Alligator mississippiensis: one gene and its partner. The protein of the gene in region 1 binds, or shares a complex with, the protein of each later gene. Links are inferred from orthologs where the notes say so. Each region holds a gene or a part of one and is shown on either strand. Other genes may lie near its edges. The genes, in order: RABGEF1 and RAB21.

What was found.
Region 2: the proteins of RABGEF1 (region 1) and RAB21 are in contact, whole or in part, in a crystal structure (PDB 2OT3), measured with the Homo sapiens proteins. The link is inferred for Alligator mississippiensis from reciprocal best matches to the Homo sapiens genes RABGEF1 and RAB21. Residues at the interface, in NP_001273991.1 of Homo sapiens: Leu253, Cys254, Lys296, Phe299, Asn300, Lys303, Pro309, Ala310, Ser311, Ala312, Asp313, Phe315, Leu316, Pro317, Ile320, Leu347, Met348, Thr349, Gly350, Glu351, Gly353, Tyr354, Tyr355, Thr357, Asn358, Cys360, Cys361, Ala364, Phe365, Ser373; in NP_055814.1 of Homo sapiens: Ser19, Phe20, Lys21, Gly26, Glu27, Gly28, Lys32, Thr33, Leu37, Thr50, Thr51, Leu52, Gln53, Ala54, Ser55, Phe56, Ala71, Trp73, Asp74, Thr75, Ala76, Gly77, Gln78, Arg80, Phe81, Leu84, Ile87, Tyr88, Asp91.

The regions. Positions count from the first base shown.
Region 1 is NC_081837.1:9,922,867-9,930,385, reverse strand, and holds the start of RABGEF1 (rab5 GDP/GTP exchange factor), read left to right. Parts: upstream 1-4,273; 5' UTR 4,274-4,363; intron 4,364-7,519. UniProt on the Homo sapiens protein: Rab effector protein acting as linker between gamma-adaptin, RAB4A or RAB5A. Involved in endocytic membrane fusion and membrane trafficking of recycling endosomes. Stimulates nucleotide exchange on RAB5A. Can act as a ubiquitin ligase.
Region 2 is NC_081827.1:71,723,192-71,730,478, forward strand, and holds the start of RAB21 (ras-related protein Rab-21), read left to right. Parts: upstream 1-4,130; 5' UTR 4,131-4,311; coding exon 4,312-4,449; intron 4,450-7,287. UniProt on the Homo sapiens protein: The small GTPases Rab are key regulators of intracellular membrane trafficking, from the formation of transport vesicles to their fusion with membranes.

The DNA of each region.
Region 1 (7,519 bases):
GGATGAAGAGAAGTATCCATTTAGCGTTCAAAACTACAGTAGGTAAAATGTGTGTAACATTCAGTTTATACCGGCCAGAGCCTGTGTGAACAAATATGTGTATAAATATAGCATAAAGAAGCCCATGGACCTATTTCTCTTTGTCCCTAGAGGTGTGTTACTCCCCTTGTCCATGGGAAATATCTATGAAAAATATTTAAAATATTTAGCTCTTATTAGTGATTGCTATCAGAGAAGCTTATAACCACTGACTGTTATTTGACCCCAGCAGTCTTTCCTACCCAGACCAGAGCAAGGGGGCTGGACCTGATGATCTCACAAGGTCACTTCCAGCCCTAAACTGTGAATCTTAATTCTTGCAACAGCCTTTTGATCTTAAAGATAGGGCAATTGAATCGAGTAGGTTCAAGGACTTGTCCATGGCCACAACTGGTCATTCTCAGATCACAGGGTGAGCATTGAACAGATCCTGGTTCCCCAACCTACTGCTCAAATCACCAGATGATTCTTGTTTTACTTAAAAAGCTTGTGTGCAACAACATGAGCTGAAATCTTAACCACTGACTTTCTTAAGTAATAATATTGATCCAAGTTTAAAGAACAGTGTTAAAGAAGATACATTGGCAGAAACTGAACATCCTGTCCCATAGTACTTGTTTGATTTGCCAGTGTAATGTGGTGCTTGCTGTAGTCCATATATGTTTCTTTTTCTCAGTCTCAGAAGAGTTGGGTGAATGGCATAAAAAAGGTCTGAATTATTGGCTCTAATTAGGTTAACACTGACACATGAAAATGATTGCAGCTGTTTGACAGGGGAAATGCTTTTATGGCAGTTCTCTCCTGTATTGGGGGAGAAACCAAAAGGGAGGTTATAAAACAACCATAAAACTACCTGGAGAAATATAGCTGCTGTATCTGTGCAATAGATCTTGCTCAAGAAAAAACGTTTGAGACTGAAGAGGTAAAGCTTGAGAGACAAACAGGGAACAACTGTATAACAAAACGGTGGCAATTCCAGTTTTTATTGTGCAATAAGTTGTCTGCGGATCTTGAATGTGGAGAACTCTTGAAGAATGTAAATCTATCATAAGCTTCAGCATTAAGGTCCCTGATGTTTTACAGTTGACACTCTAGCTAATTCATCTTAAATGAATAGAATATGCTGAAGGTGTTCTAACAAATAAAATGTGCAACCCCTTTCTGGCTTCTCAGCAAGTCCCCAAAGAGGAGCTAACCGTGTACTTTGTAATCTAATTGAAATGCTCATCAAGAATCTTTACTGAAATTGGGAATTGATGGAACAGTGAAATAAAGCAGGCAGCATGGGAAGTTGGCCAAGGCAGGTATTTGAAGGGAGGAGGCAGTGCTTCCTGTTCGTTGTGTGCTATTACTCGGTCTGACTGGCCCTTTTGGCAGTTTCAACGCACACTTCGCTAACTTCAGAAGGGTCAGCAACATTTAAAATGATTTCTAAAGACTTGCTGTATTAAACACTAATAACTTTTGGGGGCCAAAACATCCTGACTTGGTGTCCTATGCAAGTCAGAGCACAAACGTGGTGGTACTGTTTACAGTTTTAATCCATTTTTAGGCTTCCTGAGCTAATCTCCCTGATTGTTGTTTCTGTTGAGCACCCTTTCTCCCCCAAGCTGTATGCTTCCATGGAAGCCGTTCAGTGCTTTTAGTGTGCTCTTTTTATTATAATTATAAAACCATTAGGATGTGTTAACTTCATAATTTATGCCCTTATGACATGAGAATTTCCTGCTTTTTTTTTTTCTTGTTTTCCAGCTATAACTTAGCTGCTAAGTTATATAAGGCATAAGGAGATCAAGTGACTAGCCTGAGAATACAAGATGAGGTAATGATCCTGACAACTCTTCCCACCCCTCCAACTTGCTCTTTGATCTTTAAACTCCAGAGGTTACTTGGATGCTGTCTGGGCAGGATGTGTATCACCCTGTAAGACTGCATGCAGGAATTTCACATGTTGGGGAAAAAGGAGGAGTATCCAGTCTGCACATAAAATATCCCTGGAAGTTACAGGCCGATAGCTGTCACTTCCTATAGACACTGACATTCTCATTAGTTGCTAAGATGTCCCTGAGGCAAACAATGCTTTCTTCTTATTTCTTTTACTCATTTCCTCCTCCTTTCACTTGTATTGTTTTCCTGTAGAGCATTATTTAAGGAAAAAAAATCCATTTATAGTTGTTGTTTTAAGTAATGCCGTGTACTCAGCCCATGGTGCCTGTCTGTGCTTTTAGTTTCTGAGGATATCGTTGATGAGTCAAGGAGTCTGAGGACAACATCATATTGGTATGCCTCTCTAGTCACATCTTCAGATCACACTAAGCATGGTGGTCAATCAGGAATTCTTGGCCCCATCCAGCAATAGCGAAAGTGCCATTGGTGAAATTCTCATGCTAAAGCCGATGGTTTGCCGCCGACAGAGACTTTAATTTCTTATGCTCTGGTTTTGTGAGAGGCAAAGAAATGTTAATTTCCACCATACTTTCTTGTGAAGTCTGTCAGTTGGTCTGGTCTCAGTGGCAAAAGGCTTGGCTACTTCAGCTTGTCTTCCCTTGCTTGCTACTGACCGTTCTTTCTGTTGCAAGGCCACATAGGTTCGCCAGGTGGTAAAATTGGAGCGGGCTATTGAATTATATCCACTGACGTAGGGCAATATCTGAGGAGGTAAATAATAGCTCCTCCTCCCAGCCTGTGATTCAGCCATAGTTAATGGCAGAGTTAAGGATGTGTTGGAAGAACTCCAGGCTACATCCCATGCTTTGCATCCCTGCCCTTTGCACGTGGCAAAATGCATGTGTGGGATCGTGAAGCTGATCAGGGAGGGATCAGGGCAGGGATTCAGAGCACAGTCTCTGTGACAGACCTTTCTTTCCCTTCTTTGTTTTAGTAACTCTTGAGAACAATCTTTGGACACTTCTGTCTTAAGACATTGTTGGCAGTACTGAACCTTGCAATTATGCTGACTTGTATAGTTATTTGTGGCTTTAAACCATTTTGAAATGTGCTTTTGGTTGTTTCCCTCTACTTCAGAGCGGATCTGAGGGAGTCTTGTGTTTTTCAGTATGTAAACTATTTAAAATTCAAACAAATGTGCAAGTTTGTTTCTCTTTCTCTGAATAAGCTACGTCTGAGATGAGAACTATGAATCGCAGTTTATTTATGTATATAGGTCTCCAACTGGATGCAAATTTCCAGAACAATGGTCCCCAGTCATTTTACTTGCACAGATTTAGTATGAGTTTATGACTAGTTTCACTGTGACTTTATAAGTGGTTTTTATTTTGCCAAGTTATAAATTGTATAGGTCTCCATCCATTGTTACCCTTCATGTCTTGTGGGGAGAGGGGAACACACAATCCTTGGCCCTAGTGATTGGGTATTGGAATGATTCCAAATTTGTCCAAATTTGTATTATTTTGTATTGTTTTACGATTAAACAAATTGACGATCAATGTTAATTTAACACGATGGATCCTGTAGCATCCTGTGTCTTACTACACATTGCTTTTAAATTCCAGGTAAACTGGGTAATGTATGTATTTTTATTTGAAACATGTGAAAGGTAACATTTTATGTATTAAAGTCTCAGTGCTGTGAAATAAATTATTAAAATGGTCAGTATTGGTTTTGATCATCTGAACAGTATAACTTGGCACCAAAAACTCTGCCAAAACTCAAAGTGCACTTTCAGGAGCATGCGAAGAATTAAAAAAATAATCTAATCTAATCTAAAAATTAATCTAATCTAAAAATTATTGACCGTTGTGGCAGACATCGCTCCGCAAAAACTCAAGCAACATCACATTCACAGCTCTGGGTCACAACTGCAAACCCCTGAAATATTGTGAAAGGGCAATCAGGACTCATAGCAGAGATGCTGTCTTAGAACAAGATTTTTGCCAAAAAAAAATCTTTAATTGCAAGCTTTTGGGCACAAACACCCTTCATCAGGCATTGGAGAAAAGATTGCAAAAGTTCTCCTGGGTAGACATGAAAGTGGGTATCTCATATAGAGGAGTTAATCGATGGAAAATTCCTCTGTGCAGTCGGTTCATAGCTGGTGTGGACCCTCTCGCCCCCTGCCAGCTCCGCGGGGGAGCAGAGCGCTGCTCCCAGCCCACGTGCGCGGCGGGGTGCCAGGGCGCGGCTGGCTCTGGAATGCGGTGACGTCACAGCCCCGCCCCTCCGCTCCCCTCCCCGCCGCCAGCTGTCACCGCGGAGGGGCGTGATCGGAAGTGACGCAGGCGCTGCCGTGTGCGCAGGCGCAGCGGGGGGAGGGGAGCGCGGGGCCGGGCTGAGGGGACCTGTCTGCGCCGCGACGGTCGCGCAGGTGAGTGGGGCCGGGCCCGGGGCATCGGTATCGGTATCCCCATCCCCCGCCTTTCTCCCGCACCGGGGTGAGGTGTCCGCCTCCCTGCTGAGGGGCAGAGCCGGGTCAGTCCTTCACGGTCGCCGTCGGGCCGGCCTGGCAGACCAGACCGCTGCGGCTGCTGCTGCTTAGGAGCCCAGCCTGAGCCGGCTGGTGTCTTGGGGGACTGACCTTTCTCAAATCGCAGGAAATAGGTTGTTTTCTGCCCAAAATTTAGCCTTAACCCCTCCTTCCAAATCCTCCCCCCCCAAAAAAACCTCCCCAAAACAAACCAATCAGGGCTCATGGGTGGAGGTGATCTCTTGTATGAGACCAACAAGATTTTTGCACAGCGAAATTCTTAAATTGCAAGCTTTTGGGGCACAAATGCACACACATATACACACGCGCACACATGCATGTGTGTGTGTGTACGTGTGCACACGTGTGTGTGTGTGTACGTGTGCACATATAATGTTAAGGTTTTTTTTTTACACCCATCCATAGTTTTCAGTATTTGCCTCCCCTCCCCCCCCCCCAGACAAAACAAAACAACCCCCCCCTGGCCCAGACATGGATCCGTTTTGATTAAGATACTTCCTTCTTGGAAAGAGAAGTCCTGGACAAACGCAGTGACCGAGAGCGGTTACAAAAAGCCTCGTCAGTGTCCGTGGATTTTGTTCGCTCTTATTTTTTTCTTTTAATGCCACAAATATTCCCAGCTGTATTTCATGTTCATGTTTTAGACTGAAAAAAACCCAAGTATTTCATGACATCTTCACGACCAGGACTTCGCCTAAGGCTAAATTAAGTTATTAAAAATGGATCGCGCGTCAGGCGTCGGAGAAAAAGATTGTGAAAGTTTCCTTGGGTTAGAAATGAAAGTTCGTACTTAGTAAGATTTCACAGGATTTGCAAAAAGCTTGTGGTCTAATAAAAGATATTGCCTCTATGCATGAGCCCCGATAGCTTTTTCCTCTAGACCAGTACGGCTACAATCGGGATGTGCGACCCCAAAAAGCCACGCACTTAGTGCTGTGAAGTAATATAACCGCAAGTCTGAAAACTGAAGTCCTCTGTTTAAGCACAGAGCAAGTGTACTTTGCTTTTGGGCAGCTGTAGTGCAAGTTGGTACCTGCAGTTGCTGCCTGCCTGCTTCAGATCAGATCCTCCCAGGTTGCACAGCCCAGCCCTTCAAAACCGGTTTGGTGCAACCCTGTGCGCTTGCAGCTTCAGCTGGTTTTCCTAACAAGGTTGCCAGTTGCAGTGGTGGCTTTTGTAGTGCCAGCAGATGCGAGTCCTGGACTGGGAACCTCTGCTGATCTGGGCCAAAACTGAACTATTTTTGAGATAGAAAAGTGAAGTCTCCATCCTCAGTTTCCAAGTGGTTTTTAACGCATGGATTATTCTGACAGGCTTTTGAGAAGTTGCTCATTCAAGGTCAGCATTTCCAAGGGATAAATACAACTTCCTTAAAGGCAAGTTGGCTGCGTAAAACCTTTCAAGCTGATTTTTTTTTTTTTTTCCCTAAGCAAGATGTTTGAATTTTGCAGAGGGTTCACCCAGATTGCAAGACGCTTTTGACCCAGAGGAAGTATGGCAAATGTTGATATACCGAAAGGAGTCTAGATTAAGTTTTAAATCTTTCCAAGGGGAGCTGATGACAGTTGTTAGAAGTTAGAAATTGTTATCATTTTGTAGTATTTAATACATTTGAATGCTTTCAAGCATAGATGAAATGGCATGATTTCAGAGCATTTATACTGCCATATTATGGGGCACTTATTCTCTCATAAATACTTAAGCATTGTTGTTGACCAAGAATGGTATCCAGCCTGATCTTAGAGATCCTTAGTGATCCATTTTACTAACTTAATTTAGGTTTATGCGAAGTCCTGGTCACTAAGATTCTTTGAAATGTTTTTTTAGTCTGAATCATTAACATTAAATATAGCTGGAAACATTTGTGGAATTAAAAGAAAAAAGCTAACAATGTACACATAGGTGAATATGCAATATTTTGGAATGTTCTTGGTTTCTAAGTTTGTAAAGTACTCCTTCTCTTTCCAAGAAGGAAGTATCTTAATTAAAATGGATATATATCTGTTCTGGGGGCTAGGAGAACACTGAAAACTATGGATGGGTGCTTTAAAATGTAATCACAAATTACTGGACTCACAGAAGACTTTTCAAAATCCATATTCAGTGTTAGGAATTATGTAACAGTCTTTCTATCATTTACCATAAAGTCCTTTATTATGCCTGTTCTCCTTGTCATTATTGTATTTCTTATGACCTAAGTAAGTCATCAGTCTGTCATATAAAATCATGCTTGTTAAGTGCCATGAGTATCATGGCAGGTGCACGTAAGCATAATGCTTCAGGATTTGAGTTTTGAATGAAACTCCTTTAAACTACTTTACTTTGTATTCAACTGAGGAACTGATATTTTTATTTTTAGCTTTATACTTAACATCAGGAGTGTAATAATTGAGGTTGCATTTAGCAGTCCTGAAGTTTGTAGATAAGTTATAAACTGTAATGGTGAATTGCTTGAATTTCTCTGAGCACTGCGGTAGTGTGATTCATTTGGTGCAGGTTAAAAGAACTTATTGTATTACAAGGCATGAGACTTGAAGGTAAAGATGCCTTGAAATAGTCAGTTAATCCATTAACTTTATTTTTGATCCTCATGATGGAAATTAGTATTCAGCACTACATATGGTATCTGAGACCTTGACGTGGACAAATTTAAATTGTAGTTCAAATTTGCAGCATCTGTACTGGAAAGTGGGTAGTGCTTTAAGTGTAACTTCAAAATCTTTCTTTAGAACTGGAATAAATAGTGAATTAGGTTTACTAGGAATTGTGAGGCCTGATAGCCAGCCAGTACATTAGAAGTAGACTAAAAATATTATGAGGGGATATAACGTCCTGTGTCAAGTATTGCTAAATCATATGTTGCCGTTGCATTTCCACATTATTGAAAGGATTGCATACTGATCTGGGATTATTTTAAAACAGTAGTTGGAGCAAAAGTATGGATTTTGAATGAAAGATAAAATAGTTCTCTCGCTCAATATTTGTCTTCCTGATTAACATGCATTTGATGATGAGTAATAGTATATTAGGAAATAA
Region 2 (7,287 bases), on another chromosome or scaffold:
TTTTTTTCTTTTTCCCTCCACTGCGCCCTGCATTATGGTGTTCGCAAATGTGTCCAGCCTTCTCATCATGTGACCAAACCGCTGCAGCTTCCTTTGTCTCTCAACCTTCAACAATGGTTCATAGGTTCCAATTTTTTGACTGATTTGCTGCTTGACAGACTCATTTGTCCAGTGTTCAATATACAAGACCACCTACATATACAGAAAGAACCAAAAATACTGTTCTTTAGCTCAAGAGGCTTTGTCAGTACCTGGGACCTTGCTTGGTTTGTTTTTATTTGTAGGAGAAACATGCAATATGAGTCAGGCATATTTTGGTTTATATACAACAGATTCCGGTTTCTCTCATCGCAGTAGAAAGAAACAGGAGAAAGCAATTCTAAGTTTGCCCTTCCAGCCAGTCCCATTACCCAAGGAGCTTGGCTTTTCCTCCCTCAATATGCACAACTAATTCTTGGGCTTTCTGCCAACTTTCCACAACTTGCTCTTTGCCTTTCTTCTGTTTACATTCAGCCTCTGAAATGCAGTTGTAACAATAAGTGCTGTCATTGCTGTGTTTTCAATCCATTCTCCATGGAACCTGTCATCCTGAGCAGTTGAGCTGCTAATGTGACCTACTTGCCTTGGTTGGTGATTTCCATCATCTCTAGCTATGTTACTCCAGAAAGTTTAATTGCTTCTCCCATGCAGCCTAAATGCAGTCTGACAGTTAGTTTGCCTGTGAGCTATAAGGAAGTCTGATTTTGCCTATAGATCAAAAATATTTGCTTGATTGTAAATAGTGCTTTCCAACATAATGGTGTGTTTTAAATAACTTGTTGAAATAAAACCAGGAACTTATTAAAGAGATACCTTAAAAGATTTTCTCTGCATTGATTTCTTACCTTTCCTATTTATTTTATATTAGGAAAATTTAAAAAGTGTTTAAAAAGAAACCAGTTTCATGCATGAAAGCAAGTCTCAGTTTCCCAGGAGATTCCAGGCTCAAGGAAATTTGGTCTTTGTCCCCCTTTCCAGCACTTTCTGTTTTTTCCTGGTTCCTAGGGGCTACCGTCACACATTTTCTGACAGAGAAGAAAAGAAATTGCAGCATGATGTCTTGTCATGGACATTATTTTCCTTGCCACCAAATAGTCACTGGAGAAGTTATACTGCTGTACCTGAGTCTGGATAATATAAATTATTTCTTAACTGTGGGGTGCTGTTCAGTTTTACAAAATACTGACCTAATTATTGAGACAAGGTACCTTATCAGGGGAAGAGCCCTTGTGGTAAGGAAATCTGAAGAAACCGTACTACCTTCTGCTGCCTCTTCACTCTGGCTATTAACATTACCTTCCTCTCTCATAGCCCCAATTTAAAGCCCACAGATGTGACTGAATCCTGCAAAGCCTTCAGCACGTGCAGAATTTTATCCACCCAAGTAGCTCCATTGCCCTTAATTTAATATTTGCTGGCTTGGGCAGAAGGCAGGACAGAGTTGCACCTTATAGACTAACTAAATCAGAGATGCATAAGCTTTCACAAGCTGGAACTCACTTCATCAGATGCTGTGAAAGGACATGCACAGAACAGTTTATCACATGGAGTGAGAGTCCAGGTTTAGGGTCATATTTATTGTTTTATATGTCCTGCTTAGACACTTTTGCTCTCTCCCCTGCCATGAGGTCTAGAGGTAACCTTTGCTGCGCATTGGGCGCATCTACACATTTCCCTATGGTGACATAGTGACGTGCTATGTCACTGTATTGCACGCTACAGCGACGTAGCAATTGTGCAGGTCTATACATGATCGCCAGCTATGTCACCGTAGCAGCACGCTGCCCCGGTAGAGTGCATTGCTACAGCAACATAGCAGTGAAATCTGACCGTGCACCGTGCTCATGGTGCAGTAACTGCCTGTACTGCACTCTGCATTAGTACAGGTTTCCCTTGATTTATGTGGTAGATGTGTTCCCAGAGACCAGCACATAAATCAAATTTGCATAAAGTGAACCCAGTTTACAATGAAACTGATAGGGAAGCATTCCCAGGGCCATGAGGGAGGGAGGGAATGAGGCTGGGGCCAGGGAAGGGGTGGGGAGAGGGTCGCGGCACAGCCCAGTGGCTGCAAGTAGGTGGTGTCTGCCATTCCTGGGACTGCAGCAGGGGTAGCACTGGGCTCTTCATTGTGCTAGGGGTGGGCGGCAGCCCCCCTCACCCCATTTCTTCTGCTCACCACAGCCCCTGCTGCAGCAGCCCTGGGAGTGGCTGATGCCAGCTGCCTGCAGTCACTGGGCTGCACCATGCCCTGAGCCACCCACCGCAGTGCAGCCCAGCAGCTACAAGCAGGTGGCATCTGCCCACTCCCAGGGCTGCAGCAGGGGCAGGCAGCTGCCCACTGCTGCTGGACAACAGCAGGCTGGGGCTGGTGTCCGCTTCAGGCTGGGGCTGGCAGCTGCACGAGGCTCTTCCCGGTGCTCAGCAGCGGTGAGTCCTGCAGCAGGACGAGAGCAGGCTAGGGACGGCAGCTACTGCAGGCTCAGGCCGGCGCTTGACAGCAGCACTGGGAAGACAGGTTGTGGGGGGCTACAGTGAATTTTGGGGTGGCAGCAGCCCCCCTCCCATCACCGTGGCCCACCCTGCGTGCCAGGAAGAGCCTGGTGCCACCACCGCCCCCAGCTTGCTCTCATGCCGCTGCTGGCAACTTCCCGACCCTGCTGCAGCCTCTGGGAGCGGCAGAAACTACCTGCTTGCAGCTGCTGGGCTGCCTGCTTGCAGTGCTGCACTGGTGAGGTGCTACCACTGGAACCCCCCTCCCCCACTTCCTTTTCCCACTCCTCTCCCTTCCTCCCCTTTTCCCCGCTGCCTCCCCCTCCCTGCTGGCTGTTGTTGGGGAGAGGCAGCGCGGCAGCTCTCTTGCTCCCTCTGTCCATAACGCTCCAGGCCCTCGCAGCCCATCGGCGCATGCCCTCTTGGCAGCGCATGCGCAGTTGGCCCGGAGCGTTACAGACAGACGGGCTAAGGAGTTTGTTATATTAGAATGCCAGGACTGGGCAAGCTCCTACTTGTGCTGGAAACCGGTATGAAGAATTTCCAGAATTATCATTATTTTTTTCACACATCCCTGTCCCCAAATGTAACCTACACCCTAATTTTGCAGGGCCCCAAGAGAAAGCATCTTACCCTGGAGTATGGGTAAGGGCTCCGCTACACGTTCACATTAAACCTGGATCGAGACCAGCTATAGAGTTACACATTTTCAAGCACTACCTTTGTAGCTGGTTGGCTTTTTCATAGGTGGAGTCATTTGTATGGTGTGATAATTACTTTGCACATGCAGCTGGCCTAAATTTATTGTGGGATTAACCAGTTTATTGCATAATATATGTAACGGTGTAGCTGGAGCTAGTGGCTGAGTGCCAGGAGCTTAGGCTTGGAGGCCACATGCTCGGGCTGGGGGATGCGTGACAGGGCCCATCGCAGCGCAGCCGTGCTGGAGCCAAGCGGCCCAAGAGGGCCCTATCCAACAGGTCGGATAATGTGGCCTGATCCAATGCATGGGCACCAGTGCTGCATGGCTCAATCCGGCAGGCAGGCTACAGCTGCATGCCAGGTGCGACCCTATGCTCTGGCTCGGGTGCCATGTACTGGGTTGAACCTGTGTGCGAGGTTGGGGAAAAGTGTGGAGGGGGGGCTCCACAGGAGTCCAGAAATTTGTGACTGGGAGAGAAGGGAGGGAGCAGCGGTAGCATCAGTGGCTGTGGCTGGCAGAACTGCATCAATTACTACTGTACCTCTCCTCCACGCTCAAATTTCCACACTTGTGGGGAGCCCTTTCTCTCGCATATACTGCATGCCGCCCGCAACTTTTGGGGCTGGCGGTAAAGTGCGCGTATATGCGAGAAAATACGGTACTGAGATTACACCTTTCTAAACGAGGCTGCTGTGGCCGCCCCAGGCTGGGCGGGGCCTACAGCCTTCGCGCAGGCGCAGAGGCACGAGGTAGGGGCAGTGACCCGCCCCCTCTGTTTCTCGTCAGCAGCTTCCCCGCGGCCCGGGCCCCGCCCCCCAGAACGTAGCGGCGGCCCCTCCCATTGGCTGTGGCGGGCCGCGTGACGCAGCGCCGCGTGACGTAGGAGGAAGAAGACGCCATTAGAGGCAGCGGGGGGTTGTAGTGGCGGGAGGGTAGTGTTTCGTGTTCTTGGCGGTGTCTGAGCCCCGCTCCACTTCTCGCCTCTCCCGGCCGAGCTTCCCGGGTCCCCGCCAGGGCAGGCGGCGGCGCCGCTGATGTGAGGCCGCGGCCCGGCGGCGGGCAGAGCTGGTGCGCGGATGGCGGCGGCGGCGCCCGGCGGCCGCAGCTTCTCGTTCAAGGTGGTGCTGCTCGGGGAGGGCTGCGTGGGCAAGACCTCGCTCGTGCTGCGCTACTGCGAGAACAAGTTCAACGACAAGCACATCACCACCCTGCAGGTGCGGCCCGGCGGGGAAGAGGCCCGGGGCAGGGGGCTTCCCGGGCGGGGCCAGCCTCGTGCCCCTGAAGGCAGCGGGAGGTTCGCACGTGTTTCCGTCTGTCCGCACGTGCGCTGTGCTTGGCCTCCCTCCCCCCCCCTTCGGGCGGGACAGGCAGTGCTCCGTGCTCGAGCCACAGGGTGGTGAGGGGGGGGCCTGGGCTGGCTGCGTTGTGGGAGGGGAGGTGGCCCAGTCCCGATCCACCTGTGCAAGGTTTGGCAGCAGGGGAAGGATTGCAGTGTAATTTGCCACTGTTCCCTTGCTGCCCAGTTTCCCAGCCCACAGGGAGCCCAGCAGGCATGATGCCCTGGTACAGGTTGAGCATCCCTGGTCTACAGTACATGCTTTTGTGGGCTGAGGCTTATTTCAGGAAATTTGGGGGGGAGGTTGTATTGCATTTCCCTCTGTTACCTGTCCCACAGTGAGCTTTTGATCTTGCTTACACTTGCATTCTTTGTATTGTATCTAATCTGCTCAAGTCTGTAAAGTGCAAGTCTACCCTGCCTTCTTAAAGAAAAAGTCTTGGCTTCTACCTTGCAGGAAGGCAAACCTTTGTGCAAGCGGCTGAGTTCTGCCCTCAGCTGCTACTGGCATATTTTGTGTCTATTGAGTTAGGAGCATGAGTCTGCTGAACTTGGGTCTAAAAGAGCACATTTGCAGCAGAAGGGTGTAGTGAAGCTTAGTTCTTTCTGCCTGTGGGCAGGGCCCTTTCGGTTTCATGATGAACTCACAAAAAAGTGGTGCACGCTCTTGTGTTCTGGATAACTTTTAGAGGTCTGAGCTACCTCCTCTGTTTGCAGTTTCATAACATCACATGGGAAATTCTAGCACTGCTTATATGATATAACATAAGATGTGAGGGCAGCTTTACTAATGCAAAATATGAGTTGTGAACAGGAATGGGAACCATGTGGTCATCTAGCTCTTGAGGGACTGCAAGAGGTCTGAGTGACCATTGTAGGACTGCTACTGTAGCTTACTTTTATTCTGGTATGGTGTAATGACAACACAGCTATAAGTCAGTCTTGTATTTATTCTCAAGAAGAAAAATCTTCCTGGGTTGGCTACGTACAACTAGATTTTTTTTTTTTTTAAGTCTTCCACTCTTAACTATGTGGGACATATTAAGAACTTTTATGGTTTTATATTGTATGATTGTACAGTACTTCATTAAGGTTTGAGATAAAGTAGATAAAGGAAGTTTCACTTGGGGAAAAAAAAAATTGAGAAACCTCAGTGAATAAAGGCATGCCTTCATAGAGTAGGCCTAGGTTTTTAGTTCAACTTCCCTTATCATTCATGCAGAACTCTTATAATAAAAAAAACAAAAACAAAAAAAACTTAGGCTTAGAGCACCTCTATGCTGTTGGTCAGGTGGGTTGGGTTAGAGCCAAGCCTCCTAGCAAACTTTGGCTGCAACGTATTTTTTCTGAAGTGAAAGGTTGGGCAAAATGGATCAAGTGCTGAAGAGCCTCTAGTTTTTCTTCCACTGTTGACCCTGAATGGTAGAGAAGGCCTGAAACTGCATTAGGAAAGAAGTCTGGTGTCATAGCATGAATTATACCCCAGACAAAAGGCAAGGTTAGGGGGAGGGGCGAGAAGCAATGAGTACATGGAGTGTGGACTAGGTTCAGCTAACCTGGCTTTTTTAACCCAGTGCCCATCACCCAGAATAACTGTACAGCAGAGACCTGTTCAGTCTGGCTTTGTTGCTGAACTACTTCAGTCTCTAGCATTTTGTTAGCTTATGCCCCTTGAAGATTTGGAGTTTGTAGCTCATTCCTTGTTTAAAAAATGTTTCTTCTAAACTTTTGACGGTTATTTAAGACTCTTCATTGACAGCTGTCTATTCTTGTCTTCATTAGACAAGTAACTTGTAGCTTCTAGGGAGAGGTGTCTGCAATGGATGGAGATGAAACTAAACTGTGTCTTGTGAGGCTTAAACACCCCCCCCCCTCCCCCAACCTTCCAAAACAGTCTGCTTCCTGTGAATAACAGAGCCCTGTTGCCCAATATAAAGCCAAACAAGAATGTGAAACTGAAAGCCAAAAATTGCTTGTCATCTGACTTTTTTCACCTGGTATAATCCTTTAACTGGAAGTCTTAAATTGAGGTATTACTTGGAGTTGAAAAGTGAATTTTACAGTACAGAATGACTGGATATGGTATGGAGACTGAGTGCAGTGAAGCCAGCTACAACTCCCCTAAATTGTATTTATAAAGTAAAAGCAGAAAAATAAATGAACCCCCCAAGATACCTTGTTTTGCTTCCTACAAAACATCATTCAGAAATGTTATTCACACGAAGGGCCATGTGTTCTTTCTGTCTGAAGAGACTGGCAATAAATCCTCAGTGTACAGATGTGAAAGATGCTGCTTTAGAACTGTAAACGGTACACTTTTGGATAGCAAAAATTGTGGGAGTAGGCCACAAGAAGTATGCCCCAATCTTCAGTAAATTCTGATACTTGGAAGAAAGAAGAACCAAAAAGAAACTTTTGTGTTTAGCTGTATAAGGTGCTTGCTTTTAAGTCTTTAAGGTGCTATTGAACCTAGTCTATAAACCGTTCACATTTTAAAACTTTTTACAGGAAAGAGAATACATGACAGATGCAGTTAAAGCTGTTTTTACTACCATATAGTCACACAGTGGCATGTGTCTTAAATAGTAATTTGGTGGTGTGCTTGCTTTAAAATGGGCAATGAACACTCACTTTCTTCCAAACCTTATGATCAAGCAGTGAAATGGGTAGGATTGGATAATGCTTGAATGGATTCTTAGCAATAAAAGACAGATTT